Linked DNA regions of Yarrowia lipolytica. The protein of the gene in region 2 interacts with the protein of the main gene of each other region in a pairwise test. Links are inferred from orthologs where the notes say so. Each region holds a gene or a part of one and is shown on either strand. Other genes may lie near its edges.

What was found.
Region 1: the proteins of YALI1_A03757g (region 2) and YALI1_E02317g interact in binary tests that used the Saccharomyces cerevisiae proteins (3 or more experiments, as listed by UniProt). The link is inferred for Yarrowia lipolytica from reciprocal best matches to the Saccharomyces cerevisiae genes NOP4 and HAS1.
Region 3: the proteins of YALI1_A03757g (region 2) and YALI1_F28744g interact in binary tests that used the Saccharomyces cerevisiae proteins (3 or more experiments, as listed by UniProt). The link is inferred for Yarrowia lipolytica from reciprocal best matches to the Saccharomyces cerevisiae genes NOP4 and NUG1.
Region 4: the proteins of YALI1_A03757g (region 2) and YALI1_B01698g interact in binary tests that used the Saccharomyces cerevisiae proteins (3 or more experiments, as listed by UniProt). The link is inferred for Yarrowia lipolytica from reciprocal best matches to the Saccharomyces cerevisiae genes NOP4 and NOG1.

What each region holds. Positions count from the first base shown.
Region 1 is NC_090774.1:228,000-235,716, reverse strand, and holds YALI1_E02317g (uncharacterized protein), read right to left. Parts: upstream 3,959-7,717; coding exon 2,141-3,958; downstream 1-2,140. Other genes in the region: YALI1_E02355g (uncharacterized protein), read right to left, coding at 1-214; YALI1_E02348g (uncharacterized protein), read left to right, coding at 846-1,850; YALI1_E02305g (uncharacterized protein), read left to right, coding at 5,014-5,159, 5,211-5,301; YALI1_E02290g (uncharacterized protein), read right to left, coding at 5,453-6,649; YALI1_E02287g (uncharacterized protein), read left to right, coding at 6,944-7,717. UniProt on the Saccharomyces cerevisiae protein: ATP-dependent RNA helicase involved in 40S ribosomal subunit biogenesis. Required for the processing and cleavage of 35S pre-rRNA at sites A0, A1, and A2, leading to mature 18S rRNA.
Region 2 is NC_090770.1:369,465-377,616, reverse strand, and holds YALI1_A03757g (uncharacterized protein), read left to right. Parts: upstream 1-1,906; coding exon 1,907-4,012; downstream 4,013-8,152. Other genes in the region: YALI1_A03763g (uncharacterized protein), read right to left, coding at 12-1,280; YALI1_A03721g (uncharacterized protein), read left to right, coding at 5,500-7,317. UniProt on the Saccharomyces cerevisiae protein: Required for 60S ribosomal subunit synthesis. Probably involved in the processing of 27S rRNA to produce mature 25S rRNA.
Region 3 is NC_090775.1:2,871,259-2,878,737, reverse strand, and holds YALI1_F28744g (uncharacterized protein), read right to left. Parts: upstream 4,243-7,479; coding exon 2,722-4,242; downstream 1-2,721. Other genes in the region: YALI1_F28807g (uncharacterized protein), read left to right, coding at 1-371; YALI1_F28765g (uncharacterized protein), read right to left, coding at 524-2,146; YALI1_F28739t (uncharacterized protein), read left to right, coding at 4,814-7,479. UniProt on the Saccharomyces cerevisiae protein: GTPase required for 60S ribosomal subunit export to the cytoplasm.
Region 4 is NC_090771.1:165,804-173,726, reverse strand, and holds YALI1_B01698g (uncharacterized protein), read left to right. Parts: upstream 1-3,833; coding exon 3,834-5,759; downstream 5,760-7,923. Other genes in the region: YALI1_B01725g (uncharacterized protein), read left to right, coding at 1,115-1,133, 1,177-1,439; YALI1_B01719g (uncharacterized protein), read left to right, coding at 1,614-1,690, 1,734-1,914; YALI1_B01711g (uncharacterized protein), read right to left, coding at 2,000-2,563; YALI1_B01644g (uncharacterized protein), read right to left, coding at 7,785-7,923. UniProt on the Saccharomyces cerevisiae protein: Involved in the biogenesis of the 60S ribosomal subunit.

The DNA.
Region 1 (7,717 bases), on a different chromosome or scaffold from region 2:
CCACATCCTCGAAGATCTGGGTCTTGAACTTGTTCTTTCGCAAAATCTTTTCGCAGCCATTGTGAGGGCATGTCACTGGGCCGTAGGCAAAAAGTCGATCCACACACGATTCGCACATTTTGTGGTAACATTGAGGATTGACTAGAAATTTCATATCCGGGTTGAGGTACCGCGAGGATTTGCAGATCGGGCATATATCCCCATCTTCACTCATATTGATAGCTGTTGTGGTGGAGGTGTGATGATGATATCGTGCCAAGTTGACCGTCTAATAAGCTCCAAAGAGCACCTGGATGAGCTGCAAGCAAACCCAACTTGATTTGGGAGTTTAGCCTGACAACCGCTGAGCTCTAAACCAGATGCATAAACGCTGAGAACATGCAGCTTGAAGATGGAATGTGTTATAGGTACGTACAGTACGACAGTGTGTACTGTATCTACTCGTATGATGATTAGTTTGAAAAATCACTCATGCGATATTGTGTGTCATTCTGGTAAAATCTTTTTGGCTAAAACGCCTCATTACCACGTCTCAACCGTAAGTCTTTCAAAATAAGACTCAGCGATCTCTAAGTAGCTATAGGGGTAGCTCATGGAAGTCTCTCTACAAAGGTGAATTGCCACTCAGTCTGTAATCTCCTTGGAGTTGTCCAGATTCTTCCAAAAAGGCTTGCCGGTGGGTTCTCAGAATCTGACTTGGTAAAACCCCGCTCACATCACTCATACCCCGCAAGTACGACCTTCCTAAGGTGCGGTTGCTCCCGTGTTCAGTTGGCAATAGAGTTGTTTACACCAGGAACCTTGTCTACATTCTCATCATCTTATCCAGCACACTTGACCATGAAATGAACAGAGCAGCGTTCAGACAGGCACTGCGAATCGTTTTCCCAGGCGTAATTCTCGGACTCCTGGGATATGGCACCTACGCATATTGCTACATTCTCTGCTGGAACCTCTACCACCACATGGGCTACCGGGCAGGGCTGGCTCTCCTGATTGTCTATTGCATTCTCAAGACACTGGTTTTCATCTACTGGGCCGCCGTCGTCATTGTTGGCCCTGGAAAGGTGACTGGAGTGTCACCTTTGCAAATTTTCATTCCAGGATCAGAAGTGGTGGACGAAAAGGCTCAGGCTATAGTATCAAGGCAGATCAACCCCAAGCTGCCAGATACTTACATCTGCGATGGTTGGGGAATGCCCAAATGGTGCTCAGAATGCCAGACACACAAACCGGACCGAACACACCACTCGGCTATTGTGGGACACTGTGTCCCCAAGATGGACCACATGTGTTTCTGGGTGGGCACAGTGATCGGACAACACAACTACAAGATCTTCCTACAGTACACGACCTTGTTCTCGACATACTTGATCTACACATTGGTGACGACAGCTGTTTTCACCCCTAGAATGGGCCAATACAGACGCGACAGGGGCGCGCCTGACTCTATTCCTAACGGAAACATCATAGCTCTTCTGATTCTCACAGGTGCCTGGGCCGCATTCTGCACCTCTGTGTGTCTCCAGAGCTTCTGGGGAGTGTGTCGGAACCTTACCGCCATGGAGGGTCTCGGAAGAAAACAGGGAGACATGGTTCTAGTCAACTTCAGATATGAAGGCAAGAGAATCATCCAACCTCTGCGAGAAGAGGACCCGCTGCCGTTCGACCAAGGCTTTGCAAAGAACTGGAGACAGGTTTTTGGAACCAACCCACTCATTTGGTTCCTTCCCTTTCCAGTCGTACCTGCTGCAGAAGACTACTTTTCCAATGCTTACGGACAGAAGTTCCTTGAGCGCATTCCAGCCAGGTGGCTGGAGGGTGACGGACGGGAAATGGCAGCGGTTTAGGACCTTGAAGGACAATTATAATCGCATAATACGGCTACACGCATCATCGGGCTGGCCAACCGAACATTTGAGATCTCATATTAAACACTAACATCAATGCATTGGTATATCTAAGTATGTATACATACTAATGTACAGGTACTCCTTACAAATACTGGAACCAGTACTGACAAGTAATTCTCAGCTAAGCGTATTTGAATTGTACAGATATACTTCTATTGCCATGCACCACTCATAATTCGTTCTAATGTCGTTTTATTACTTTCCTTATCCACTATCTATTATGCAATCTACCGTGTGAACTTCTTTCCGCCGGGTCCACCTCTCTTCTTGTGGTTGTCCTTACCCTTGATGCTCTTGGCGCCCTTACCGGAAGCTCCAATGGAAATGTTCACCTTGGGAGGCACATTGAAACCGAAGGACTTGGCCACCTTGACCAGATCGAGCTTGTCGATCTGGTAGACGGTCTTGAGGTGGTGCGAGGCGTATGCTTGCAGATAGGCTCGATATCCGTCCTTGGCAGAGGTGTTGAGCCAGTAGTTGGACGAGATGAGCTTCTCCAGCTGGCTCTGCACGTTGGCAATCTTCTTGTTGGGGAACTCGTACTCGTTGAGAGGCACCTTGGCAGCCTTGAGGTATCGCAGGAAGCCAAGCTCGGAGGGGGTCAGGAACATGATGGACTTTCCGGAGGCAGAACCTCGGGCAGTTCGTCCGACTCGGTGAATGTAGTCTCGGGGATCATCCGGAGGATCGAACTGGATAATCCAGTCAACCTTGGGAATATCCAGACCTCGTGCAGCCACATCAGTGCAGATTAGAACTCCCTGCTTGGCGTTAATGAACTCGAAGAAAGTGTTGGTTCGTTTCTGCTGCTTCTGCTTGCCGTGCAGATCGAGAACGGGCAGATCGATGTAGTTGAGCAGCTCTCCGTAGAACTTGACCGAGTTACAAGACGAAAGGAAGACAATGATCTTCTTGCCTGCGTTTCGCTTCAGGAAGGAGAACAGCAGCAGGAACCGCTTGTCAGAATCGCACACAACGTAGCCCTGCTCGAGACCCTCGGCGGTGGAGCTGACGTTGTGTTCGTCGACGTTAAGGTAGAGGGGACCCTTCTTGAGCGAAATTCGGGCCAGATCCTCGACCTTGGTGGTCTGTGTGGCTGAGAAGAGCATGGACTGTCGCTCCTTGGGGAGAATCTTGATAATCTCCTTCATTTCTTGCTCGAAACCGATCTCGAGAATTCGGTCGGCCTCATCGATAATAAGAGCCTTGAGGTTCTTGAAGACAAAGCCCTGGGAGTTCTGCAGATGATCGAGAAGTCGACCGGGGGTACACACCAGCAGGTTGACTCCCTTGTTGAGCTTCTCTTCCTCCTGTCGTCGGTTATTTCCACCAATCACAATGCCAAGGGTCTGGGAGTGGTTAGCCATGAGATCTCGAGCCACTCCGTAGATCTGGAGGGCCAGCTCTCGGGTGGGAGACACCACAATCACACCAGTACCGTTTCGAGGCTTGAACTTGAGTTTCCGCAGCATCTCGATGGCGGGAATCAGGAATGCCAGAGTCTTACCGGATCCGGTCTTGGCAGCTCCCAAAACATCTCGGCCAGCAAGCAGAGGAGGGATGGTCTTCTCCTGGACTGGAGTCATGGTCTCAAATCCCATGTCCTTCAGACTCTGCATGGTGTTCTCAGACAGAGGAATTGTGCTGAATGGCTTTCGCTCGGCGTCTGAGGCAATGTGGACAACCTCAGCGTCAGCGGGCGCAGTAGTGACAACGGCAGTGGACTCCTCTTCCTCGAGATCAGAGCCCTCTCCGTCATCTTCCTCCTCGATTTCGACGTCCTTTTCATCGTCATCGCTCATCTCGGAGTCCTCATTTCCGTTGGTCTCCTCCTCGTCTTCCTCCTCAACGTCTCCCTTCTCAAGGAGACCCTCAACCTCATCGAACTCATCATCGAGCTCATCAACCTCGTCCTTGGACTTGGAGGGCTTGGCGGACTTGGCGGGCTTGGACGAGGGCTTCTCGACCTTGGCCTTCTTATCGGCCTTGCCCTTCACCACGCTTCGGGCTTTCTTTTCGACTTTTTCCTTCTTGGTCAGACCCATGATTGTGCAATTAGGAGTGTGTTCCAATTTTTTACGCCTTTCATGCAATATCGAGAAAAATTTCGAACTGTAAAACTGTAACCTTATCTGCTCATAACATGTGTTGTATGGTGGCAATGTACATGCAGCACTACAGTACTCATAGCATTACGAACAAAACTCGCCTATTAGTGAATAACAGTCCAATTCAAAATATTGAGATTCGAATCTATATAAAACGTACAAGTGTCCTACTCAGTTGTGTAGGACTCAAATCACCATTGATCGTAGGTGTACATACTGTAGTATGCTTCGCTAGTCGTCATATAGTTAGCTGTGGCACCACACAATCCCCTAATCAAGAGGAGTATCAAGCCCGAGATCGGAAGACTTCTCAATGATAGGACTGGACTTGAGCTCAAACTTGGCTCCAGCATACTCTTTGGCCAGGTTGAGTCCAAGAGAGCCATGGACAGTATTGTTGTCATCGACAATGTACAGACCGTCGAGACCCTCAATCTTTACCAGAGAAGAAGCGGCGTGGTTGTCAAGGTATTCATTGACCTCTGCCTGGGTCTGGAACGTCTTGTTGCCTCGAGGAGTATAGCCCAACTGCTGGAGGCTCATTTTGGGATGGAAGTTGGAAAGCACTTTATGTTTGAATGTCCCTAGATCAGCTTTGTCTTTCGAAGAGTGTGACAAGAGCTGCTAGAGATGATTGTGAAATGTCGAAGACGGTTTAGACGGTTGACAAGGATCCCCACACATTTGCCACGCATTGTTGCTGTAGTTATGTTACCCTTACCCTTGATTACAGTTCGATAAGGTACGTTGAACGAGGATCTATTGGTATGGTTGAGGTCACGGGAGTGGTTGAGGGAGTTTCTAGTCCGGTACACTTTATAATTTTCGGCCCGTGATTACCATTTGACAGGATTTGGTGACAGATCACCTCAACTACTCTCTCTGTTCGTATGGCCTCCACTATGCAGCATTCATGCATGAACGTTCATCTAAACACCGTTTTAAACATTCTGAGACTCGCCTTCAAACACGCCTCGCACACAACTTCAGCCATGACAACAAGAGACCGTCAAATGACCCAGCTCAAGTCGCAGCTCGCGCAGCTTGAGGCTAATCTGGTTGACATGAGCAACCTCATGGAACGGACCACAGAACAAGCATTGCACATCAGAGAACTCGGCATTCTTCACGCGTCAATGTGAGTATTTGAGACATATGAAGGAGCCCACAAGCCAATGCTAACCACGAGATTCATGTCAGCACATGCCGCTTTCGAAAATGAGACGTTTCAGGCTGGCCAGGCAGAGGAAAAGATGATGGAGTCTGAGTATGAGGAGTAACTAAAGCTATTACGCGTCTCAACACAGTCAACCCACCCCATATTTATACAGTGTCGGAAAAGCACACCCAAGCATCCATGTTAATATATATACAAATAATAATTACTTATGGTACTATATACACTTTGGTTTTAAGTAGTCTGTAGGACCTTTATGCGCGGAAGATTTTACTGGCTCGGTTTCCACCCTTCTCCTTGCCTCGTTGTTGGAACTTGACCATCCACGCTCGCATTCGTTCACTTTCCTTCTGATTGTACGTGTCAAACGCCTCAGGAGTAGCTGCGTCGAGCATGACCTTACCTTTTTTTCCGCTGACCCACTCGTTGATCCACCGCAGAGCAGTTCCAGCGTCCTGGTTAGGAGTTGACCGCCACTTGCGCCGCAGTGCAACAAGAATATCGTTGATATCGTTGGTGGGAGGACACAGATCACGGTAACTCTTGGGATCATCTCTGTTGAGTGCGTACAAGAGGTAGTCAGCCTGAACGATAGGATCAACAAGACTCTCCTTGATGCACTTGAGAAGGGCGAGCTTGATCATAGTCTCACTGTTGGCAATACTTGGCATGAACAGACCTGGGGAATCAAACACAAAGATGTTAGGGCTGTCGCATACCTTGATTCGGTTAGACAGAGCTCTGGTGACGCCCGCCTGCTGTCCAACGGGGGCCACAGATCGCTTCTTCCCCTGCATCTTCCAATCATTTGTCTTTTCTACCACCAACCGTCTCATAGTGTTCACCAGAGTACTCTTTCCCACATTAGGCATGCCACAAATCAACATATTGAACCCCACTGGCGGTGGAGGGTCGATTTTCTGGAACACTGTGGCTGCGTACTTCATGATTTTGACTGCTGCTTGTCTAGATCGGCAATCAATCTGGAGATAATTGCCCTGAGGGTGCCATTGTTTGAGAGTCTCATCATCCAGAAGGGAGGCGTCACTCTTGGAATACAGATAGAGTCTGTTTGATCCAATTGCTGACGAAAACGAGTTGGAAAGGAGCACGTTTCCTGTGCTCAGTGGTGCCCTAGCGTCTCTCAACTCCAGAGTGAGATGAGGATGCATGGACATGCCCTTCTTGAGGAACTCTTTGTGGAAATGTGTAAAGTTTGAAGTTGAAACTTGAACTGGGTCGAAAGATGTTCTAGGGACAAATAGCGACTTGGGTTTGTCCTGTTTCTCTTGCGATATCTTGTTTGGTCGCTTTTGGGTGTCTGTTGGGCTTCCTGATCTGCTCTGTGTAGCCACTGTCGAGGTAGATAGCATTCGGATGCCTCTTCTGGTGAGTAATTCCGCGCCGCAACGGCAAATACTCGCAGCCATATTGACTTGGTATTCCCTCATGGTGATATGTGTAATGTGGTAGTGGCGTACACCGATGCTTGAAAGTCTGCATCAGATGCACATAAAATTCATTAAAGTTGGCGAAGAGCTTGTACAGTATATCGGAGAGATGACAAAATGTGCACATAACAGATTTTATAGAGATTTTGAAAGAAAGAAGACAATATTAAAGTAGTATTTGTTTTCTGCTTTAGTTTCTTAACTCGAAATTTGACTCAAATCATCGATTACTAGGCCCAATATAACGCCTCCCCATTTCACATCAATCAGTGGAAAGGAACTCTAAAAAATCAAATGCTCAAGAGCATCTTCTCTCACACACACTTCTCCACACAATTATCACACACGTCAACTTGCGACATGCCTCTTCTCTTGATCACAGGATACCCTTCCGCGGGTAAGACAACCCGAGCCATGCAAATAAAGGACTACTTCGAGAAGAAGATCCAGGAGACAGGGTCGAATCTGACAGTGGAGGTGATCAATGATGAGTCTCTGGGACTGAGCAAAGACTCGTACAAGGAGAGCCGGACTGAAAAAATGACCCGTGGCGAGCAAATATCTGCTGTTAAACGGTTGGTTTCCAAAAACACCATCGTCATTCTCGACAACATGACATATATCAAAGGATTCAGATACCAGCTGTGGTGTGAAGCAAAGGCCGTGGCTACCAACTATGGAGTGGCACATGTGGGTGCTCCCGTTGATGTTTGCAAGGAATACAATTCAATTCACCCCAACAAGTGGGAGGACGATCTCTTTGACGCCCTAGTATTCAGATATGAAGAGCCGAATGGAGCGAACAAGTGGGATTCTCCTCTCTTTACCATTCCTCATATTGACAAAGACATCTCTGGTGAGGAAATGTGGAATGCTTTGGTTCACCGAAAGGTTCTAAAACCCAACCAGGCAACTGTGCTAAAGCCTGCCACGTCTACTGACTACCTCTATGAGCTTGATAAGAAGACCCAGACCATTGTCAGCGAGATCCTTGATATCCAAAGAGACAATGTTGGAGGTCTCGTGAAGCTAGATGGTGGTAATCACAGTCTTCAGCTGCCTATAGAT
Region 2 (8,152 bases):
GATGATTGCTTCTACTTATCGGCCTTGTAAGCCCCATCATTCACCGCTCCACTAGTACTGCTCTCCTCTCCAGTCATCCAAGCAGGCATCTTTCTATCATTAATGTCCCCCCTCATGGCCATTCTGTACACACCAGCGTACACATCCGTACCCTCCATCCGTAGCGTCACTTTCCGCGAGTTCCGGGTAATTCTAAACTCCACCATGCTTTGAGGATTCTCCGATCTGTACTGCAGAGGCTCGGTGATCTTTTTTGAGGTGAATTTCGCCGCAATTCTGTTGGCCTTGGAGTTGGCCACTTTGGCAGGCGGCTTTTTGACCATGGCCAGAGGCGACTGGTCGACTTCTCCGGTAGCAAAGACGGACCAGGAGCCCATGGATGCGGCTTTTCGGTTGTCCGAAAGAGTAGTCACCAGGGTATTGAAAGAACGAGTGGGGAGAGCGCTGGAACGGACCAAGGAGATAGGGTCAGCCACAGTAGTGACACTCTGAGTGACAGCATGCAAAACTGTTTGGGCGTAGACGTGATCCATGCTCAGATGAATCACGTGAGGCGAATGGTAGGGAAACACCAGGTACAGGGGCTTCAAACGAGCATCGTCATTGGCAGCGTCATATGGTTTGACACGAACCACAATGACAGGCAGCTCAGGATGACGCATGGCGTGCACGTGGCATCTAAAGGCAGGATAGATTGCCTCACTCATTCGCGTGGCAATGGTGCCAATGCTCAAATCAGGTACCTTCTCTTTACCGACAGAATCTTTCACTGTACTGTAGCTCCAAACCAGCATTTCTGGACGTTCAAAAACGTCTCCCCAAATGTCCAGTTGGGCCAGTTGCAGTAGATTGAGACCGGCATTCCAGTACTTTTGTCCCACGAGCTGCATGTATGCCTTTCGAGACTGCACTCCTTCAGTCAGTTCTTTACGAGCATCGTCCATGATCTTTTCGTACTTGGGACCACCTCGAGCCACAATAACGCCTTCCTCCACTTCATCAATCCCCTCATCGGCCTCAGCGTCGTCCTCGTCGTCTGAGAGCGCGTCCAAGTCGAATAAATAGTCGTCCTGAGAGTTGATGGCCACCAGCGGCAGACAGTCTTTAGACCCCAGCCACAGCTGAGTCAGGTTGTACAGCGTGTTGTGAGAACACTTGTTGAGCGCGTTTCGTCGCAAATTCGTGGTCTGCTTCAGGACCATCTGGTCCCTTAACGTGCCATTGAACTTCATGGTGTATCTTGTGTTGTGTTCGCGTCTCCATCGCATCGCGACCTGCATGCTGGAAGACTATGTCAACATTGGAGATCACGTGATTTCGGGATCCGGGAAAACATCCCCTAGAGAGCTGAGTTTGAAAATACGGTAAGCTAGAGACGGATATCTCGTTGGTTGTAGTGTGTGATTCTCTTCACAAAGGTGATATATATGTTTGTAGCGGTTTTTAGGGCGTGATATCTTGCCTTCTATACACTACATCGTTTTCCGTTATATACTGTCCTGAATTGGAAGTCAATTAGGGGAAAAAGATAGCGTAAGAATCTCCCAGACGAAATCTACATAATGGTTCTCTCAGCTCTGTTCTATGATCACTATGTCTTGTTTCCACACTCCAAAACGCACGATTTCGGTGTGGCTGACTAATCAAGCAAACATACACGCAAGAAAAGTGTCCAAGAGTAGTGAAACGAGCTTCAGGATAAGAACTGTTGATTTTTTAATAAAATTACTTGCAATTTTCTCCCATATTAGATGTTTACTCGTTTACCAATATCACTTCCAAACCGGGGCATCAGTCTTTTTAAGGTTTGGAAGGCAAAAAAAAATATGCATGATATGGAAATTTTCCTGGACCGATTTCGATTTCCATTTACACCCTTTACACCACACAACTACGTTTCAAAAAAATGGTTCGAGACACAAAAGACAAGGTGGACAAGGGCAAGACGGATTTGTTTGTGCGGTCCATCCCTCTGGAGGTGACGAACGAGGAGCTGGCGGACTTTTTCTCACAGGACTTCCCCGTGAAGCATGCCGTGGTGGTGACCAATGCTGCGACCAAGGAGTCCAAGGGGTTCGGGTTTGTGTCTTTCACGACCGAGGAGGATGCTGCGGAGGCGCTGCTCAAGTGCCGAAAGCAGAAGCTCAAGGGCAAGATTCTTCAGATCGAGTTTGCCAAGCCTCGAGAGCGAAAGACCAGAGAGGACCGGCCGTTTGAGAGCAGTGGAGACAACAATACTTCTGTGGAGAAGCGAAAGCCGCGACTAATTGTGCGAAACCTGCCGTGGTCGGTGCGGGAGCCCCAGGATCTGATCAAGGTGTTTTCCAAGTACGGCAAGGTGGTCGATGCGTTTATTCCCCGAGGAGCTGGAGGCAAGATGAGTGGGTTTGGATTTGTGACCATGAGCAAAAAGCAGCATGCTGACAAGGCTGTGGCCGAAAGCAAGGGTCTTGAGATTGACGGGCGAACTGTTACCGTTGACTTTGCCATTCAGAAGGACAAGTGGCTGAAACATAAGGACGGAGAAGAGGTCGAGGACGAGGAGTATGACGACGACGAGGACGAGGTCAAGGACGAGGTCAAGGACGAGGACGTGGATACTGAGGTCAAGGATGAGGTCAAGGAGGAAGATCTCGATCTGGATGAGTCCAATGCCGATGTTGCCGAGGGTGACGATGATGACGAAGACGAGATTGAGGTGGATGAGGAGGAGGAAGAGGAGGAGGATGATACTCCCAAGGTCAAGGCCCAATCCAACTCCTCGACCGTTTTTGTGCGAAACATTCCTTACGATGCCACAGCAGAGTCCCTCAAGGAGCACTTTGAGAACTTTGGTGCTGTTCGATACGCTCTTCCTGTCATTGACAAGACCACGGGCCAGCCCCGAGGAACTGCCTTTGTTGCGTTCGAATCATCCGACGACTGCGACAAGTGTGTTGAGCGAGCTCCTGCTGCAGCCACCACTTCTCTGCTTGTTGCTGATGATACCGACCCTCGGTACGTGTTTGAGGGCCGAATTCTGGCCGTCACTCAGGCTGTCCAGCGAGAAACCGCCAACAAGCTGTCTGAACACAATTCGAAAAAGCGAGCCGAGGCTCTGGGTAAGCTGCCCAAGGAGAAAGATCGACGAAACGTCTTCCTGATCAACGAGGGTCGAATCGGCGAGAACACTGCTCTGGGTATGACTCTGCCCAAGGCCGACATGGAGCTGCGACAAAAGTCATACGACCAGCGAAAGAAACAGCTGAACGGCAACCCCAGTCTGCACGTGTCCCTGACTCGTCTGGCTCTGCGAAACCTGCCCCGAGCTCTCAACGCGAAGGGTCTTAAGGCTCTGGGTCGAAAGGCCGTGGTGCAATTTGCCACTGAAGCCAAGGAGGGTGCTCGACAGCCTCTGTCCAAGGAGGAGGCTATTCGGTCGACCAAGGCTCGAACCGAAGAGGCTGCCAAGTCCAAGCATGGAGTGGTCCGACAGGCAAAGGTGATTATGGAGCAGAAGGAGAGCGGAGAGCTGGGCCGATCTCGAGGATATGGTTTCCTGGAGTTCCGAGACCACAAGGCTGCTCTCATGGCGCTGCGATGGCTGAACGCTCACGAGGTGTCTACTGAGGAGGTTCTTGAGGGCTACGAGGAGAACGAGCGAAAACACGTTGATCTTACTGGTTCTTCGCGACGTCACCTGGTGGCTGAGTTTGCAATTGAGAACGCACAGGTTGTCAAGCGACGAAAGGAGACTATGGCTCGAATCAACATGCAGAAGAAGCGACATCGGGACGACGAGGGAGGAGCGGACGAGGGTTCTTCCGAACACAAGCGACCCCGACGAGAGGGAGACCGAAGAGACCGAGGAGACCGAAGAGACCGAGGAGATCGAAAAGACCGAAAGGGTGACCGAAAGGGCAAGGGGGGAGACAAGAAGGATGAGTCTCGACAGCCTGAAAAGGACAAGAACCTGGAGCTCGGAAAGCTCATTGGACAGAAGCGAATGCGAAAGAAGAAGGGAGGAAAGTAAGCGTTCCTTCAAGTTTGAAGGAAACAAACAGTGTTGTTGATAGACTAATTAACACCGTAGAGCAGTGGAGTATGGGCTCGCTGCTTCTGCATTAGTATGATAATATAGAAAATGAATGCCTAAAGTCTATGAACGAGTAGGGTGACAGAGAACTAGAGATGCAACAAAAGTACATTATGCACAGTATATACTGTAGTACAGTACATACAGTAGTATGTCTCGCTCCAAGGGGCAAAAAGAAAAGCCCGACGTGGGGCTTGAACCCACAGCCTTGAGATATTCTCAAATCTGAAATACAATGGACTAAGAGTCTCACGCTCTACCGATTGAGCTAGCCAGGCGGTGAAAAAGTGCGAAACTTTGGTCAAGGGTATCGAAAAGGTGTTTAGTCAGCGGGGGAAAAGGAGGAGAACGCAAAAATGCGAGAACACGATGGTTATGTGCTTTTCTGAACACCCTAACCCGGGTCCTATGTGCGGGTATAGCATATAGGCTTCAAGTAGCTGAAATGTATTTCCCTAGAATAAAAAAAATGGCCAAGAAGCTCTAGACTCAAGGACTGAAGCGAAATTGCTCATTCGCGATCCATTCACTAGTGTAAAGTCATTCTCACGGCGCGATCGATGGGCCGAGTTTCGGGGTATGAGTTGTCGTGAGTAATATAGTTAGAAATTAGAATAACAGCTTAGATCCATCAATTAAATTCAACAAAGTTACTTATATTTCTCAGGTAAAAATAGTTTTTACAATCAACGTGTCTCTGGGCAAAGATGGCCAGAAAGAGCGGACTATTCACGTCGTAAAGCCATTCCATCGATTACCGACAGTGATCATCACCCAGATGCCAGATACTCTACATTTTTCGACCCCGCTGTCATAGCTCCTTTGTAAGGGTGACTTTAGCGGAGATTAAATGCTATAAAATGACAGTGGCAATGATAAGGAGTGTAGGGCTGCTGGAGCAAAGGGATGTATATAGTGGTATCAGATAGAGTCTTCCAGAGCAGTGGAATTCACTTGTTTGATCCAGATGTCAAAATCAGGCGAGTGAAGTCGACAGTGTACGCAATTACTACTTCAGCAGTCAGCAACGACGATGTGTATTATAGAGAGTGCTGATTGTAGTCACAGTGCGCAGAACCAATACTCTGGAGGGATCCAAAGGGCCAGTTACAAAACAGCACCCAGTGTATATCCAATCAGGCTATTCGTGGCCTCGATATTATTATCGCTTAGATCTCGTCTAGAGCGTTTCCCCCCCCCCCCCCCCCCCCCCCCCCCGGTGGGTCGAATTCTTTTTTGTTCTTTTTTTATTCTGTTTTAGTTCTATCGACAGGTCAAAATTACATGTTGGGACGGATGAGGATAACGAACTCTATCGAATAGAGTTGATTAGGGGTGCACTCGGTGACGCTAAGAGAAGTGGTAAACAGGACCCAGGTTCAAGCCGCCACAATAACACCACCACCACCGCCACAACAACCACCATGTCTCTGTTTTCGGCGGCCACTACAGCCGTGGAGCGAACGGGCTATGGCTCGCGCTACGACCACATTTTCGACATGTTCCATCCCATAGACGGCCGGATTCCCGCAGTTTGCTACAAGCGGCTTTTGGAGACCATCAACGTTTCGGGCGAAGACAAGGACCGGCTGGCGACGCTGGCAGGATCGATTCTGGAGGGCGGCGACGGCAGCGGAGGCATTCTCACATCGTCCTTCACTCGCGAGTCGTGGCGAGCAGCCCTGTTGCTGGCCAATGTGGCGCAGGATGGCCTGCCGTTCGACGACCCATCGCAGCTCGTCAACGTGGACACTCTGACGCCAATGGACTTTTCCGAGGAGGGCGAGCGGTCTAGCATCAACTTTAGCGCCTCGACAACCGGTAGATCACAGACGCCACTGTTTGGAGATGATCTCGACGACCATAGCATCCAGAGCAGCAGAAGTGAGAGCATCATCCACAACAACGGACACAGCAGGGGCCACAGTGCTCTGGACTGGAACCCGGAGGAACAGGAGGCTCTACAACAGTCACAGCTGTCGCAATCGCAGCTGTCCCGCTCTACAACCCCACCTCCTCTCAACCCCCAGGCCCTGGTTCCCGAGTCCGAGTCTGGAGTATGGACTGCCCCTCCACGACCCGATTTCGCACCCAACAAGGCCGACTCAGTGACACTGGCTATTGTGCCCGAACGCGAGGGCATGTTTTTGTTCCGTCACGTCAACTACTCAATCTCTTCAGTGTCGGGAACAGACCGCATCACGGTCATCCGACGGTACTCGGACTTTTCCTGGCTGCAAGACTATCTTCTGAAGAAGTACTGTTTTCGACAGGTGCCACTTTTGCCGCCCAAGCGACTGGCTGTCAACGGTCATTATCTGTCCTCCGACAACTACTTTTTGGAACGTCGACGACGAGGTCTGACTCGGTTCATTAACCAAGTTCTTCGGCACCCCGTGCTGGGCCAGGATGAGGCAGTGCGAACTTTTGTCACCCTGCGAAACGATATCAGCGGCTGGAAAAAGAGTGTGTTCAACACCGCCCGAGAAGAGTTCAACGGACGAACGATTGATCCAAAGTTTGTGCAACAGTGGGATGAGCAGCAGGCGACTGCTCTATGGGCCGGTCTCATTGTTGAGCTGGACAGATCGCACGACTCCGTGGTTCAGCTGTGTGTTCTTCTGGACCGAGTGGCTAAACGACAAGAGGCCCAGGCTGTTGACAGCGCCAAAATCGCATACAACCTTGGCGCAGCTCTTCCTCCCTCCGCCCGCGTGCTCTACTCTGTCGCCGATGACGGGTGCGTCCAGCAGATCACTCGGGGTCTCAGTCGGGCTTCGGCACGCATTGAAACCGACTGCCAGCTTCAGCAGGACGAGGCACGAGGTTCGCAGGTGGGAGTGCTTGAAGAGGCCAAAAAGTACCGGGAGGCGCTGGGCTCGATGCGGGAACTGTTTGACCGGTTGGAAAAGTACGGAGGCAACAACATCCCGCTGCTGGAGAAGCGGATCCAGCAGAACCAGGGCCGTGTGACTCTGGCCCGGCAGAGAAAGGCGCTCATGTCGGAGATTGAGAAGCTGGACCGCGCCATCAAGATGGACACCGAGATGATTGCGGCCCACAAGAACCGAACGTGGCTGATCAGGGAGTGCATTACGGAGGAGATTGGCCTGTTCCAGAAGACGCAGTTGCAGATATCCAAGCTGCTGCAGGAGTTTTGCGTGGACAAGATCAAGTACGCTGAGCTGTATTCGGACAACTGGGGAGGGCTGGATAATGATGTTATGGATTTGCCAGTCTAACCGTATATGACCATCTACTGGAGAGCGTAAGCAAGATGAGAGCATGATATTCAGGGGAACCGTACGTACTAAAGCAGAGTACCTACCATTTGCTATAGCTATTTACATCTATTTTATTTTAATATGACTATTGGGTGTTTTCAGATCTGGCTATCACCAAATATTGGACGGTGGCACAAGTATCGTACATGGCAGCAAAACAATGCGACCAGAAGGACAGCGTATTGTTGAATAATAACCGCGAAAAATAGTTGACCACGCTGATTATTATATCATGTGACTCTTTTCGGATGTAATCAAACAGTCGCTATGGTGACATCGGTTGGTACGATAGCCATACGGCGGCATCCAAAGAGCTAGAATTGCCGAGGTTTTTTTGATGTATTCAATTACGTAATACTGTACTTTGACAGTCACGTGACGTAGTTGAGCTGCCTATCTGATGAGTAATAAGATAGTTGTAAGATACTGTACTCATACATTAGTCAACATTACGTCCTGAGTTGACATGTCGGACCCCTCTGAATGTGCGTATAATATCTTTGGATATTTTGGTGGGGTATGTGCAGTAATTGGAAGCCAATTTGTTGGGGAGTTTGGGTGATAATACTGGTGTTTGAGGGTAGATTGGTGGTTATTTTTGGAGAAAAAATCATACGGATGGATAGCGCTAATCATTCTGTTTTGTTTGGTATAACTATCATCTTGGTAGGAGCAGTAATTATGTATCTATTGGACATGTAACTCTATCAGTGATGGTGACTGTTAACAGAAGACAAAACACCATTTAAGGACAACGGGGTCAGCAGATAGGTATTACATAGCCTCTCTTAAT
Region 3 (7,479 bases), on a different chromosome or scaffold from region 2:
ACGACCTCGACGGTCTGTTTTCGCACACAGACGGCAACACGGACGCTGCTGCTGCCGCCTCTGGTGCCTCTGGTGCCACTGGAGCTTCTTCCATGAACGACATCATGTCACTGTTTGGAAATTCCAGCAGCATGGGCGGTGGCATGAGCGGAATGGGTGGCATGGGTGGCATGGGTGGTTCTATGGGGTCTCCTGCACCCATGGCTGCCCCTGCCGACCCGTTTGCTTCGTTGTCTGCTGTTAACACCGCAGATGCCTTTGCCTCTCTCAATATTGGCAACGGTTCGGAAAAACCAAAGGAACAGCCTGCTCAGCAACAGCAGCAGCAGGGACAGGGAAAAGCCAATGATGATCTACTTGGCTTGTTTTAGATGGAGGAGTATATAATAATGGCATGAATGAGTATAAATGACAACACCTCAAGTGTAGAATGTATCATGGGGTGCTGTCTAAATGACCGTCTCTAGAGTACATATCATATCGCATAATTCGTTAACTATTAATGTGTGTCCAATATTACTCTCTACTCCCACCAATACATCTTTCCACTGGAATTTCCTCCTGCAATCCAGTTTTGAGTAGGATGGAAAGCCAGAGCAGAAGGAACAGCAGTCATGAGGGCATCACCAAGATGAGCAAGCTGATGACCAGTGCCAGAATAAATGTCAATGTATCGGTTCATGTTGGCGATTGCAAACTTCTGCACGCCGTCCAGAGGCTGTTGTTGCCATCGAGCTTTGAGAATAGTAACCCATCGGCCAGTCTGGCAGTTGTGTTTGATTCGAACGGAAGGTTTCTTGATTTCGGGCAGCTCCTGGTCGCTGATCTCGGGTTCAGCAAGTTTGGAATTTCTGGTTCGTCGGGTCTTCTTCACAGGCTCTGTTCCGTTACCGTCATTCAACATATCCAAGAAGTAGTCACTCTGGTTGAAGATGTTGATGGTGTCGTCATAGCCGTTGCAGACAATCTGGCCAGCCAGGTTCCAGTCGGTAGAAGACACAGACAGTCGGGAGTTGTAGATGGCTTGGAGATGGGGCATCTGGAACTGTGTGTCGATGACTTCTCCCCCAGGAATGGTTCTGGCAGTTTCAGTTGCTCTCAGGTCCCATATTCGCATCGATCTATCCAGCGATCCGGTCGCAAGCAAATGAGTGTTGATGGGGTCCACCGAGAAGCCACCAATTTTCTTTTCTCCGAGAATCAGAGTCTCATATTCAGTTGATTTCGTTCGTAGATCTTTTCGAATCAGGTGACCGCAAAGAGTAGAGGCATAAAGAAGATGAGGTTGGGAGTGATTTGCCACGTCCGAAACACCGACACTGGCGTTCTTCTTGGCCTCCAAGTCCAAAACGTCTCCACTCTTGCCTGTTTTCAGCTCCAGACTTCTCACAGAACCGTCATAGGAAGCGGAATACAAAATATCGTTGGAATTTTGATCGAAACAAAGAGCAGGAATGGTAGCGTGGTGCAATTGCAACTGTAGGGGCTCGTTATCGGAATCAACATCCCAAATACCCAACACTCCAATCTTGTCTCCGGCCAAAACAATCCGTTTATCTGTACCAGGATGCACAGCAGTGATGTAGATTCGCTCTTTAGTTACTTTGGACATTTTTCCGAGCTGCAGACCGCTCAAGTTGTCTCTGCTCTGCTTGATGTCAATGTCCTTAGTATCCTCTTCTTCCTTCTTGACAATCTCATCAAAGAAATCTCCCTGACTGACCCTCGATCCGTCTCCAAACAGCTGGCCCAGCGACGCACTCCACTCCTTTTCGTCGAGTCCAGTCTTAGTTAGCATCTCCTTGAGACTCAGATCTCCAGACAGTCGCTCCTTCTTGACTCCTCCATTGAGCTGTTGCATCAGTCGCTTGAGCTCACCGCTGCCTCCCAGGTCCTCCTGCTTCAGTGCGTTTGCCTCGGGATCCAGACCCTGCAGCCGACGCGATTTTCGTCGAGTTCTGGGCGCGGAATCGTCAGATCCATCGTCAGGCGACTCAAGTCGAGCTGAGTTTCGTTTCCTACTCTTCTTCGGCGCAACCTCAGGGTCCACGCTCTCCTTTTTGGCCTCTGTGGGAAGATTCAGAGCCGCCAACAGTGCTTTGTTTCGCTCAATGTTGGCCAGACGAATCTGCTCCAGTTCACTCATTATCGTAATTTTGTCTCTTGGATGTCTAGCTGGTCGCGTCACTGTCGAAAATACTAAATGGCGGTGGTTAGACGCGTATGCATATCCGATGTCCCAAAGTGGACGTTCTTATAAGAGCGGACGGGTGGTGGTACATAGTCGGTGTAGGTCGTGTGAAGACGTTAAAGGTACCAGAACAGTCATATATAGTCTTTGATTTGATTAATATGTTGATATCCTGCTCACTTCCACTACAGCCGCCAAAAAAACACTGCTGTAACGGTCTTGTGACTCCTTCATCACTGTCCAAATCGGGAAACAATAATAACTTAGTTTGGTCAGAAAAGGGATTGCTATGATGGATCAACATTAGACGAGAGAAGCACAAGTATGATGGCTAAAAGTGCATGGACACACGACCTTCAAATCGCCCCCATATGCTTGGTTTAGAAGTGACTGCTAAACTTGTCCACTTCCTGATCTCATCCGAACTACGTCGTAGTTGGTTGTACCCCTCTCCTACACACTCTGAAATACCAAATAATGCTCTATACTATAACCTATTACATATCATGTGTACTTTCCGTTTTGCACTCCTACATGTCCACGTCCTCGTCATCCTCTCCTGGGGTCCACAGACCGCCGAGATCAAACTCCTTGGCCCACTCCTGGACCACAGTCTTGGTGTCCTGCTGCTTGGCGGGAGCCTTGAGGGACTTGGATGACGAGATACCAGGTCGGTTCTCCTCGTCGGCAAGGGCCTCAGTGTACTCGGGAGCCTGGGTCCATCCGAGAATTCGCCCGTCTCTCCAGTCGTTGATGATGTTCTTGGAGGCAGCCTCGAGGTTGGGGATTCCTCCCTTGCCGAGTCGGCCAGTCTTTCGAGCCACGTGAATTAGCACGTTTGTGGTGAAGTCCTTGAAGTTGGCGTGCGACAGAGGGGGGATAGAGTAGTGCTCCATGAACTGCTGCAACAGAGACTCGTCGTTGGTGAGTCGCTTGAGCAGCAGTTGGACAGCGGGAACCTGGTCGACCATCTGCTTAGCAGGAATTGCGTTCAAGAGCACGAGACGGGCCTGCTCCTGCACCTTGTTGGCCTTCTCGGAGGGGAAAACGATACCCGGAGAGTCGAGAATCTTGAGCTTGTTGTCGATCTTGACCTCTCGAAGAGCGGTGGTGACACCGGCTTGGGCTCCGACGGGACAGGCTCGTCCTCCTCCATGGATCTTGGTGAGAGCGTTGATGATGGATGACTTTCCAACGTTAGGGTAGCCAATGACTCCGACAATGACAGACCGCTTAAGCTGCGAGTCCTTAGCGTACTTTTTGAGGGCGTCCAGCAGAGCGGTGGAGGTGGACTGCTGGGTCACGTTTTTGTTGCAGAGCTGTCGGCCGGTCACGGGACCGGAGTTGGCAGCTCGCAGGGGCAAAGTGGGGAAGGTGAGTCGCAGAGTGTTGACCCAGTTCTGCAGGTTCTCGGCAGGGATCAGATCAACCTTGTTAAGAATGAAAATAAGTCGCTTGTCGGGATTGGACAGAATGGCAGATTCGACAGCTCGAGACCGGGTTCCCTCGGGATCTCGAGAGTCCAGAACGTAGAGAATGACATCAGCCTGGTCCACAACGGTCTTGAAGATCTTGTCGAAGGCCTTTCGCGAAGACTCGTTAAACACATCATCACCAGGGTTGACCTTGACATCCAGCTCCGTAACCTCGCTCTCCATCTCTTCGTCCTCGTCATCACTGCCATCGTACTCCTCGGCAGCAGCCCGTGCACTGGCCAACAGAGCAGCCATGGGGTTGTCCTCAAATTCCTCCTCATCAGGCACGTCCTCGCCTCGAGACCGGGCCTCAGCTCGGGCCTGTCGAGCTTCCTCCTTCTTTCGCTCCTTCTCGGCCACCTCGGCCTGTTTCTGTGCGTCCAGCTGCTGCAAAAGCTGCTCCTTGTAGGGGAAGGAGTTGGGGATACCGAGATCCTTCTTGTTTTTGGACTTCCAGGTCACGTCCTTCTTGGCGAGCTTTCGCTGTTTTCGACCATGGGCGGCAGCCTTCTTCTTGATACCCTCTCTCAGTCGAGTAGAGGTTCGCTTGGATGTGGGGGCCTTTGGTTTGGGCATTGTGTACTGTGTGTGGAGTGGTTCTCAAATGCACGCTGAATATATTTTCAAAAAAAATTCAAACTTCAAAACCTTATCGTCCAAGGTGCAGTGTTGTGGGAGGCAACTTGTGAGTGGCAAGATAGGCTTGGGGTGTAAACATAAGGAAAGAGGTTTGCTTAAATAGTGGAACTGGTTTATTGGCTTATTTGAAAGCGATTGTCAATTTCACTTTTCTCCCAGTATATCTACATCTTCGGTAAGATAGGGTGTTACGCGAGCTCTAACCTCCATGCTGTCTATTGGGTGGAATTATAGTTACGTTGTTGTTACATCTTTAGTTGAACAATATACCTGCATCTCTCTAATACATACTGTAGTGTCTCTCCCACCGGCCTAACACACAGTTCATCATTGACGGGAGGTGCCCGACATTCCTGTCTACATGCCACTTCAAAGTTTTCCACGACGGTGCGACACTCAGCTCGGTAGACGAGATTGTAGAACCCCCGAACAGTCCCCCGAACCCCCCTAGGGTGACCACTCTCCATGAGGTGGACACAATGCTCCGACCGGGGCAGAACCAGTAAGCATGTCTTTCACCTCTACTACCACCCCTTCTAAAGCCCCATGTAAGAGCACCCAGGCCAAAATGAAATCTCCGAATGTTAAAGTCATCACGGCTAACATCGGCGGTTTTAAGATGGCGGAAGCGCTTAACCGATTACCCGACACCATTGTAAACATTATTCGAACTACTCACTACCCCGATCTCGTCCTTCTTCAAGAGACGAACTGGGTGGACTCCTCCCTACAAACCGCTCAACAAATCATTTCAAACTCGCCCTACCCGGGGGGCAGACACTACACCCTCCTCGGCTCCACAGCTGGTGTTTCTAATAGAAGCGTCGGCGTGGGGCTAGTCTATTCCGACAACGTCACCATCACAAACTTTACAACAGTTTTTGAATACTTCCCAGCCCTAGACAACAGACTGTGTTTGGCCGACGTGCACATCAAAGGCACCGACAGACACCTATCGCTGATCAACGTATACGCACCAAACGAGCAGGGAGCCTCCCCCTTCACTAACCGGCAGTTCTACCAGTCACTAGACGACTATCTACGCCTCCATCCCTGCCAATACCCCCTGATAGCGGCAGGCGATTGGAACGCGGTCGCCTCCAACGACGGCAGGATTGGCGAAAAAGTGACGACTCACCTTAAGGACTTCTTAGCTAACTGGGACTTACTAGACACCTACACTCTAATCAGCAAACACAGAAAAGGCCTCTACACTCACACCAACAACAGCCGCGGAGCTGGCAGGCGCCTGGATCAGCTGCACATCTCTTCGACACTCTCACAGTGGATCAAATCCACACAACTGGTAACCAACAAGCAGGGTCACAACATCACGAAGTCCTCTCACCACGCGGTCCAATTCGTCTTTAACTTTGGCAACCTCACCCAGCGACAAGACAGAGGCCCAGGCACCTGGAGGATGCCCTGGTGGGTTTTTGATACAGAGTACATTGCTTGGCTCAAGTTCCACGTCAAATCCATTCTGAAGCGATATGGTCCTTTGAAGCCCAGCCTGAAGCTGCAATGCCTGAAAGAAAACATTAAGGTCACCATCCAACAGGAAGCCAAAAACCGCGCACTTCGAGATTCCAACCACCCAGACAACAGACGCCGCGAGGCCCTCATGGCAACAGCCTCAGACTGGCAAGCCTACCCAGCTAACGAGCCATACCCGATGCTCCATGCTCGGGTCGAACAATCCAAGCAACAGATGGAGATCCACTCCCTACGGAACCACCAAGGCCGAGTGAAGACCGACACCTCCTCTCTCTGCGACATCTCAGCTCGATACTTTGACAACATCTTCGACAGAGCTGCCGATATCAACGACACCGACGACAGCGCCTTTTTAGACCTCTTCCCCGAAGAAACCCGGAGGGTGAATACAGCTAACCCAAGCCTGGACTCGTCTTTTACCAAGGAGGAGATCTTCGATACCATCAAGGCGTCTACGCACAACAGCGCGCCAGGGCCAGACGGCATCCCGTACAGGTTCTACCGCGACTGCTGGGATGAGCTGGGGGACTTGATGACGGACGTCTACAACGAAGCTGGAGCCGACTCGCCCATCAGCACCGAACGCAACACCGCTATCATCAAACTACTGTACAAGTCGGGAGATCAGGCCGACATCTCCAACTACAGGCCTATTTCTTTGATCAACACAGAGGTGAAGATCTACACACAGCTCATTAACAAAGCCATCCAGAACATTCTTCCGGACAGCATTCACGGCGCCCAAAACGGTTTCGTACCGGGTCGACACATCACTAACAATCTCGACACCATGGATCATTTTTGCAACGCCTACTCCCAGCTGAACATGGGTTGGGTCGTAGGATCACTGGACTTCCGGAAAGCCTACGACACTATCAGCCAGAGTTGGGTGATAAAGACGCTTCGAAATGTGGGTGTCTCGGAACTGATGATCAACCGTATCCTAGCTGTACAACAGAACGCAGTAACGAGAATCAACATCAGAGGTGTCCTATCTCGCCCAGTCCGCATCAAGATCGGAGTGAGACAAGGATGCCCTCTCTCTCCAACCCTCTTCATCATCGCAGTAGACGCACTTGTGCGTCGTCTGGACCGAGAGATGTTTGGACTGGCCCCAGGCCTGCCACTATCCCACCACCACACCACTGGGCACAGGCCGCCACAACCCCCTACTCACCCGGAGGCAGTGGCAGCTGGACACATGAAGGTGTCGGCTTTCGCGGACGACATAGCGGTGTTCCTCAACAACATCCAGGACGTGGCCACGGTTGGTAGAGTGCTCTGCCTCTTCCAACGGGTCTCAGGCCTCACACTAAACCCGTCAAAGACGGTGCTTCAGAAGATCGGCCCCCCCGATTGTTTTGTTCCACTAACCTTTATTGACGCAGAATGGCAGCGAACAATTGACGCCACCTGGCCAACCGACAACAACACACGACAGGCCCCGACGCTCCGGACATCTGACAACATTTTCCGGTACCTCGGAGTACACTTCGGAAATCGCGAAAGGTTGGACACGCACTACGCTCAGATCAAGGAGGACCTCAAGGAGTCGCTGCGACGCCTTTCACTATGGGGTCTCCCCTATTACAGCAAGGCGTGGATGATCAACATCTACTTCTTCTCGAAACTGAATTTCCTTGGACCCTACGTCAGCCAGATCGACAACACCTTCAT
Region 4 (7,923 bases), on a different chromosome or scaffold from region 2:
GGAAGTTTTTGAGTCGCTGCGGTTACTACAGGATTGTTTGAATGGTACTTTTGTTTCCGTTATTTCTTTAGTTATTGTTAGTTGGGAAATTGTTAAGGGGGTTTTGTTCTGGGGGTTGTATTTTGATGTTCCGAGGAACTAAAAGGGATTATGAGTATATCGGGGGGTTTAAAAGATCTACATTCTTAGCAGAAATTCACTTGTGGATGTTATTGGCACTATGATAAGTCTGGTTGTGTCAATCTTGGGGGATGTTGTGTTGGGTTTTAGTTGAGCCAGTAGTTAGCTTTTTGTTGGAATTAGGCTAATATTTTGTTGAGTAAAAAGATGTGAACATGGAGTGTTTTTGTATGAGATAAACAACAGAATCCAAAGGACTGCGGGTTCCAAGTGATCTTTCTCTACTTTATTTATCTTGAGAGTTTTATCCGTTCCAGTTTCTTTTCGATTGCTCTTCTTGCCTTGGGAACAGGTCTTACAAGAGACCATCTAATAATATGACGATAACTCGACTAGAGAATAAATCTGGTTATCAAAGACTTTGGTAATGGATTTAACATGACATTTCTCAACTACTGACGACTTTCCAACTTCATGTTACTTTTCAATCTGAAGTTTCATCGTCTCGCTGTGCATCCGGTCACCCTACTGAAGGTCGTATGAATATCATTGATACTTAGTGTAGGAAGCACATAGGACGTTTGGGGAGTTGACTGACGTGTTTCAACCACTCATTGGATGCCCCCAGAAACTTGAAACTATACATTTGAGTGTTTATAATGGAATCTGTAGCATTTTTAGTACATCCTGGTCCTGATTTGATGACTCCGACATATATACTGGCGTTAACAACGAGGGATAATAGCAATGGAATAACCATGACAACAAAGGGCGGATGTTTGGTGGTATAGCACCATGGAAATACTCCAGGAATACATATCTTCTACTACAAGATGCGCATTTGGCAATTGTGAAGACACCTACATACTGTCGAGCTAACCCATGATGTGTAACGACTTTAGAAATCGATACAGACAAGCTAGAGACACGGGGACTTCGAAATTGCCTCATTCCGGAGTCTACATTTCCAATTCCGCTTCAATCAGCTCTCGAAATGCTGAAAATGAAAAAATGTGGCTGTTCCGGATGATATACCGTAAAGTCTATGCGCCAAAGTGCGCCTTACGGACCCCTTAGCCCTGTCACGGGACTATGATACTACAATAAGACAGCTTTATAAGCATCTAACCGTAAGACCCACTTTCAACATTCATAGAGCAGACCTCCTCGATCTTGGTGTACTTCCATATTTTCAATTTAGTAGCCCTGGGTTAAGGAAATACATTGTGGAGATCGGTCGGGCTCCAGCTGTCGAATGGCACCACTCATTAGTCTGTAGCAGATATACTTTCAATGCCTGGCTGGGTATTACCACGTAACCATCATCAAAATATCATTTTTATGCTTGTCTCATCTCATGGCAAAATGATGCAATAAGTTATCTCGATATACCGTACACGTATAAAGAGGCTGTCGGGGTCTCGTGAGACTGGGTGACGCGGGTCCCAGGTTCTGTTTAGGGCACGATCGTCTCAGAGTTTCAAAACTGCGGAATGTGTGAAGCGTCTCTGCACCAACTCTTTCTTATACTTGTGGGGCTCTCCGCTTCAGGGGACTCGTTTGATGTTGTGTATATGAGTGGCCGAATGATTGGGTAGGGTGGTGGGCGGTAGAGAAGAGACCTTGACAGAGACCTTGACAGAGACCTTGACAGAGACCTTGACAGAGACCTTGACAAGAGACCTTGACAGAGACCTTGAGCGGGGGAAAAAAACCGTTAGAAAAACGAGGAGAAGAGGCCTTGAGCGTGGAACAAACGTGAAGGAAAACGTTGGGAAATGGAGAAATGGGTAACCACCAGTATCCTGAGTCGAGTGTCTATCTGTCAACAGTCGGATAAGACCCAAGCGGTTGTTGTGTTTCGTCCACATCCCACCATCTATTCCTCATAACCAGGAGGAGCCTCGTACTGTGGCAAATCCGGCTCGATGCCGTCTCGCGCCACCGAAACCTGTCTCTGGACTCTCTCCCTGAACGCTGTGTGTTTCTCCGCCAGAACCTTTTGGAACTCAATGGCACCACCCTCGCGAAAGTACAGATCGGCTCGCCACGTGGTTCCGTCCCGTCTCAGCCCGGGAACCAGATGCAGGCCTCTCTCGGCCTTGGGAATCGCCACAAACGAAATGTCCACCGAGTTGGGGCCAAACCACGGCTGAGTCAGCTGCACCTTGAGAATGTTGGTCATGGGAATTTCCAGCGAGGCGAAATTGACACAGTCCAGCTTGAACGCGACCACGTGAGGCAGCTGGGGCGCGTTGTCCGAGTCCGACTGCACAATGACCCGAGTGGCGTCAATCAGAACTGTCACTCCAGTCGCCTCGTATCGCACCGGAGATCGGCCCTCATCATAGGGCTTGGAGGTTTCGGTGAGTACCAGTTGCACGCTTTTGGCGCAGAGCTGCATGCCCGACGTTGATGTTGAGTTGGTGCTGTTGAGTGACATGTGGGTTGTGAGAAGTGTTGCTGGTACCGTTCTGTTGTGGTACAGTTCTGGAGATGCTGTCAAGTCCGGTGATGCGAGTCTAAGTTCAGGTGCGGTGTTTCTGCCATGATAGTGGGGATTCCTTTGGGGGTCATTTGGGGGTCGTTTGGGGAGTTGGCGTGGTCAGAAGGAGGATGTGGACGGTTGTTGTGAGACTTACAGAATCGATATCTAGAGGTTTCCTTTTTTCCAGATTTTATTTGATTAAATATAATTTAGAATAATCTAATCGTTTGAATTTATCAGAAACTTACATTTCAGGAAATTCAGTAAAAATAGCAATTTCAGAAGAAGAGAATAAATTCAGAAAAATGACAAGAAAAATGAAAACTTCAGAACATTTCCTTGCAAATTATAGAGACGTGTACAAATATATATTGTGCGCTATTCAACGGCCATATAATGAACCTCGCTCTACCCAAACCACCCAAATAGCTTGAATTTCTCCGAAATTTCGAATTTACTCAAAAAAAAAAAAAAAAAAAAAAAAAAAAAAAAAAAAAACCAACCTCAATTACTCAATTACTCAATAACTCCTCGATAACTCTTCCAAAACAATAAAAATAGTCGGAAAAAAACGCCAGTTGATTCGCCACATCGCACAGACTCCTCCACTCTCAGTACAGTCGCCCTTCTCCTCTTTTCTGGGCCGCCTGGAAGACATTGCCATCGATCCGATAAGCTTATTTTGACCAGAAAAATGGAGAGTTTGGGTGGTGAATTAGAAAGGCAAAAAGGTGGATCTATGGAGATGATTGAGACTGTTAGATGGGGAATAAATTGGGGGAATATTATAATATGGATTTTTCAATAACAAAAACTATACCATTTATATTTCTCCTATTTTTCTTTCATTTTTTTCCATTTTTTCCGACAAAATTTACACACAGCCCATGGGAGTTTAGTTAGGCTAATATAGTGCCTGCCTTACAAAAAAAAACTCGGTCTCAATCTGTAGTGTTGTTTTCCAGCGCCAAAAAAATCAACATACAATGACTAATTCAGACCAATCTCGATCACATGACTCCTCATCCCGATATTACGGGTATTCATACTCGTACCCGTACTCATTTTATAGTCATTGCCACCTCACGTGACCATAATAACCTCTGCATATCCCAAAACGTTAACCTTAAAAGTTTTATGCAGCTGCGTCAGCTCCCAAAAAAAAAATCCTCCACTTTCTACACACGCAACACACTCTACTGTTTTCAACTTTCAACGAGGAAAAATGCAACTAACGTGGAAAGATATTCCGACGATTCCGAACCAGAGCGAGTTTCTGGACATTGTGCTGAACCGGACGCAGCGAAAGACGCCCACGGTAATTCGAGCCGGGTTCAAAATCTCGCGAATCCGGGCGTTTTACATGCGAAAAGTGCGATTCACAGCGGACGGATTTGTGGAGAAGCTCAACGAGATTGTCACGTCGTTCCCCAACATTAACGAAATCCACCCGTTCCATCGAGACCTGCTCGATACCCTGTACGAGAAGAACCACTACAAGGTGTCTCTGGCATCCCTGTCCCGAGCCAAGTCGCTCATCGATCAGGTGTCACGTGATTACGTGCGTCTGCTCAAGTTTGGTCAGTCTCTTTTCCAGTGCAAGCAGCTCAAGCGGGCTGCTCTTGGTCGTATGGCCACCATTATGAAGCGGCTTAAGGACCCTCTTGTCTATCTTGAGCAAGTTCGGCAGCATCTTGGTCGATTGCCCTCCATCGATCCCAACACTCGAACCCTGCTCATCTGTGGCTATCCCAATGTTGGCAAGTCTTCGTTCCTCAAGTCTGTGACTCGAGCCGAGGTCGAGGTCCAGCCCTATGCGTTTACCACCAAGTCTCTGTATGTCGGCCATTTCGACTACAAGTATCTGCGGTTCCAGGCGATTGACACTCCCGGTATTCTGGACCGTCCCACCGAGGAGATGAACAACATTGAAATGCAGTCCATCTACGCCATTGCCCACATTCGGTCGTGTGTGCTGTATTTCATGGACGTTTCCGAGCAGTGTGGCTTTTCTGTGGCCGAGCAGGTCAAGCTGTTCCATTCCATCAAGCCGCTGTTTGCCAACAAGCAGGTGATTGTGGTCATCAACAAGATTGACGTCAAGCGACCGGAGGATCTGGATGAGGAGAACCAGGAGCTTCTCAAGGGCATTGCTGCCCAGCCCGACGTGGAGATTATGCAGCTGTCGTGCCATGCCGAGGAGGGTCTTATGGAGGTGCGAAACCGGGCGTGCGAGAAGCTGTTGGCGGCTCGAGTGGAGCAGAAGCTGCGTCATGTCAAGGGTGGCGCCTCTTCGGATCTGCTCAACCAGGTCCATATTGCCCAGCCCGTCAAGCGAGACGACATTGAGCGGCCCTCGGCTGTGCCTGAGGCGGTCCAGTTCCTGCAAAAGTACGACAAGAACGACCCCAACAGACGAAAGCTGATGCGGGACATTCAGGACGAAAATGGAGGCGCTGGAGTCTTTTCCATTGACATGTCCAAGGATTATCTGCTGGAGGACGAGGCCTGGAAGAAGGACATTATGCCCGAGCTGCTCAACGGCCGAAATGTCTACGATTTCATCGACCCCGATATCGCCTCGAAGCTCCAGGCGCTGGAGGACGAGGAGGAGAAACTCGAGCAGGAGGGCTTCTACGACTCGGAGGAGGAAATTGAGGACGACGAGGCCGAGGATATCCACGAGCAGGCCCAGTGGCTGCGAAACAAGATCAAAATGATGCGAAACACGGCCCGGTCCAAGAAGTCACTCAAAAACAAGGCCGCCATCCCCAGAACAAAGACCAAAAAGTCGCTGGGAGACATGGAGGAGCATCTGGAGCGAGTGGGCTTCGATTCGTCTAAGGTGGTGGACCGAGCCAACGCCCTGGCCGAAGCCAAGGCCTCCGACGACGTGTCTGGCCACCAGACCTTCCTCAACGAGGCCGTCTCCACCCAGGAAATGTCCCTCATGCCCCTGGGCCAGTCCAACCGACGAGACGATGGTATTGTCACCACCGTGCGATCCAAGGCCGACCGAATGGCCAAGCACTCCCAGCGAAAGGGTAACATGAAGGCCCGACGAGGAGAGGCCGATCGACATATTGCCGAGACCAAGCCCAAGCATTTGTTTTCCGGAAAGAGAACTGTTGGATCGAATGATTGGAGATAGACAAAGTTTGAGGACGTAGTCCGAAACCGAGTCGGATTCAAGACATGGACGGTATTGATTACGGTATTGATTTGGTCGGCTCAGTGTCTCCAACCAACCTGGTTGGGTACTCACTTGGTCGTCACCTGGATTAGATAGATGGATCACGGAAAAGTTTTATATTAATAGATTGAGCATTGATTGAATAGGCGAGTTGAGTGACGAGAGTCGGTCTGGTCAGCTGTAACGATTGTAGCTCTGACATTGTAGCATTGTAGCGATGACAGTTCGCGGATCACGTGATGTGGTCGCCGAGTCACGTGACGCGGTCGTCAAGTCACCAGTTCGGATCGTATCATACATACAAGCCAGTACAGTCAAAAAAATCATGTGGAACTAGAACGGATACTCTTTCGGACATTCATGCCGATGGAACCCCTAAGCTCACTGAGTCATTCTGGAGACAATACCGGAGACCTCGTCAAGTTGTAGGCACTTGCCCAAGAAGCAGATTGCTGCTGAAGGTTGTAACAGTTCCAGTTGACATTGAACGGGGGAAGTGGATCTGGTTTCTCACGGAGGTCTGGTACTTTCAGCTGAGAAAGTGACGGAAACTCCAATGTTTGGATCACGTGCTCTCAAACCAGCAGAGACTGGACTCTCCCGGCTGTTCAACGCCTTATCATTACATGTACTAATGTCTGAGTGCTCCATGACCAGCTTTCTGAGAACACCAGCGTTTCTGAATGTCTCGAAAGATCTGGACCCAACTCCAAACAGCGCTGACAACGTCTCCAAAAGTTCTATACTGGCTATGAAGAACTGGTCACGTGACCAAGTCAAAGTCGTTACCCTTTGTTGTTCCAGATACGGCTCCCAAAACCCCCTTCCAGTCTCCCAAAATTCCCTGCCCTTCCTTCCTTCCTCCCTTTCTCAGTCACATGATTGGAGTATCCACACGTGATTAGATCATCTGCACGTGATTAGAGCATCTGCAAGTGATTATAGTCGCTTGACCACATTGCGTGACCGCTTCTCTTCTCAAGCTTGCCATGTCTTCCGGTGTGAGCACACTTCTATCTGTCCTATTTTCTAATTGTACCCAATTTTGTCAGAATTAGTACCAAATTAATCATCGAAACGACACGGTTTTAGTAAACTACTTTTTATCCCTCCAGTGCTGGTATTACAAAAGTTGGAGACACAAACGCTCGTCGGCCAGATTAAAGTGGAATGTCCGTGAAAATTCTGAAAATTGTACTGAAGCCTGAATGGGGTGTCAGAAGGGTTCCAAACGGTTCCAAGGTGTTCCAAAGTGTTCCAAAGCCTTTTTTTCAGGCGATTATTGTGGTTTTATTCTGCTTTTATGTCTTTCGGGGTCGTTTATTAAATCCCAATGTTCATATACATTGTCTGTTTAGGTGCCATATACAGAAGCCTTTCTTCTGCACAAGACTGCTCATTTGTGACGGTTACATAATCAGAACATTAGTAAAAATTATATCGTTGAAGAGCTCTTGTTCAGGTGAACACAATTGTTTTGTTGTTAACCGTCGATAGGTTTATTATTGGCTGGGTTGTGCACTTCTTTTCAGGGGACGGACCGTATGTAGCTCTGGAAGAATGAAGTCACCTCCAAGTCAATGAATCTCATGCAGACAGAACCAAAGTATCATAGTGTCGTCACGTGAGACGCGGAAGTTGGACACGTGACCAACTACTCGATCTTGTGCTCCGGTCACGTGAAAACTGAACACGTGGACAACTATGCCAGTCATATGACAACATGCACACACCCTCCACTACTCGTACAGAACCAGAATAAATTATTGTATTTCATTAGACCGATGCAGACCGTTGTTAGACGACATACGGTGGAGGTCCCGTGGCATATCGAAGCAGTGTAGAGAGATGACTGAAGTTCACAGGTCGACTCCTCTGGTGAACGGACCACGAGCGGACCCATCGGACTTTGTCGTTGGTGTGGAACGGAATAGATTCGGGTCTGGATTTTCTCCATATCAACTCCCACCCTGCCGAGCTCGGCTAAAACAAATCATCCAAATCCATATCGTCGTCACTGCCCACACCCTTGTCCTTGACCTCGCCCTTTTCCACCTTGTCCTCACTCTCCTCCTTCTCCTCCTTCTTTTCCTTCTTATCGATCTCCTTCTTCTTCTCCTTG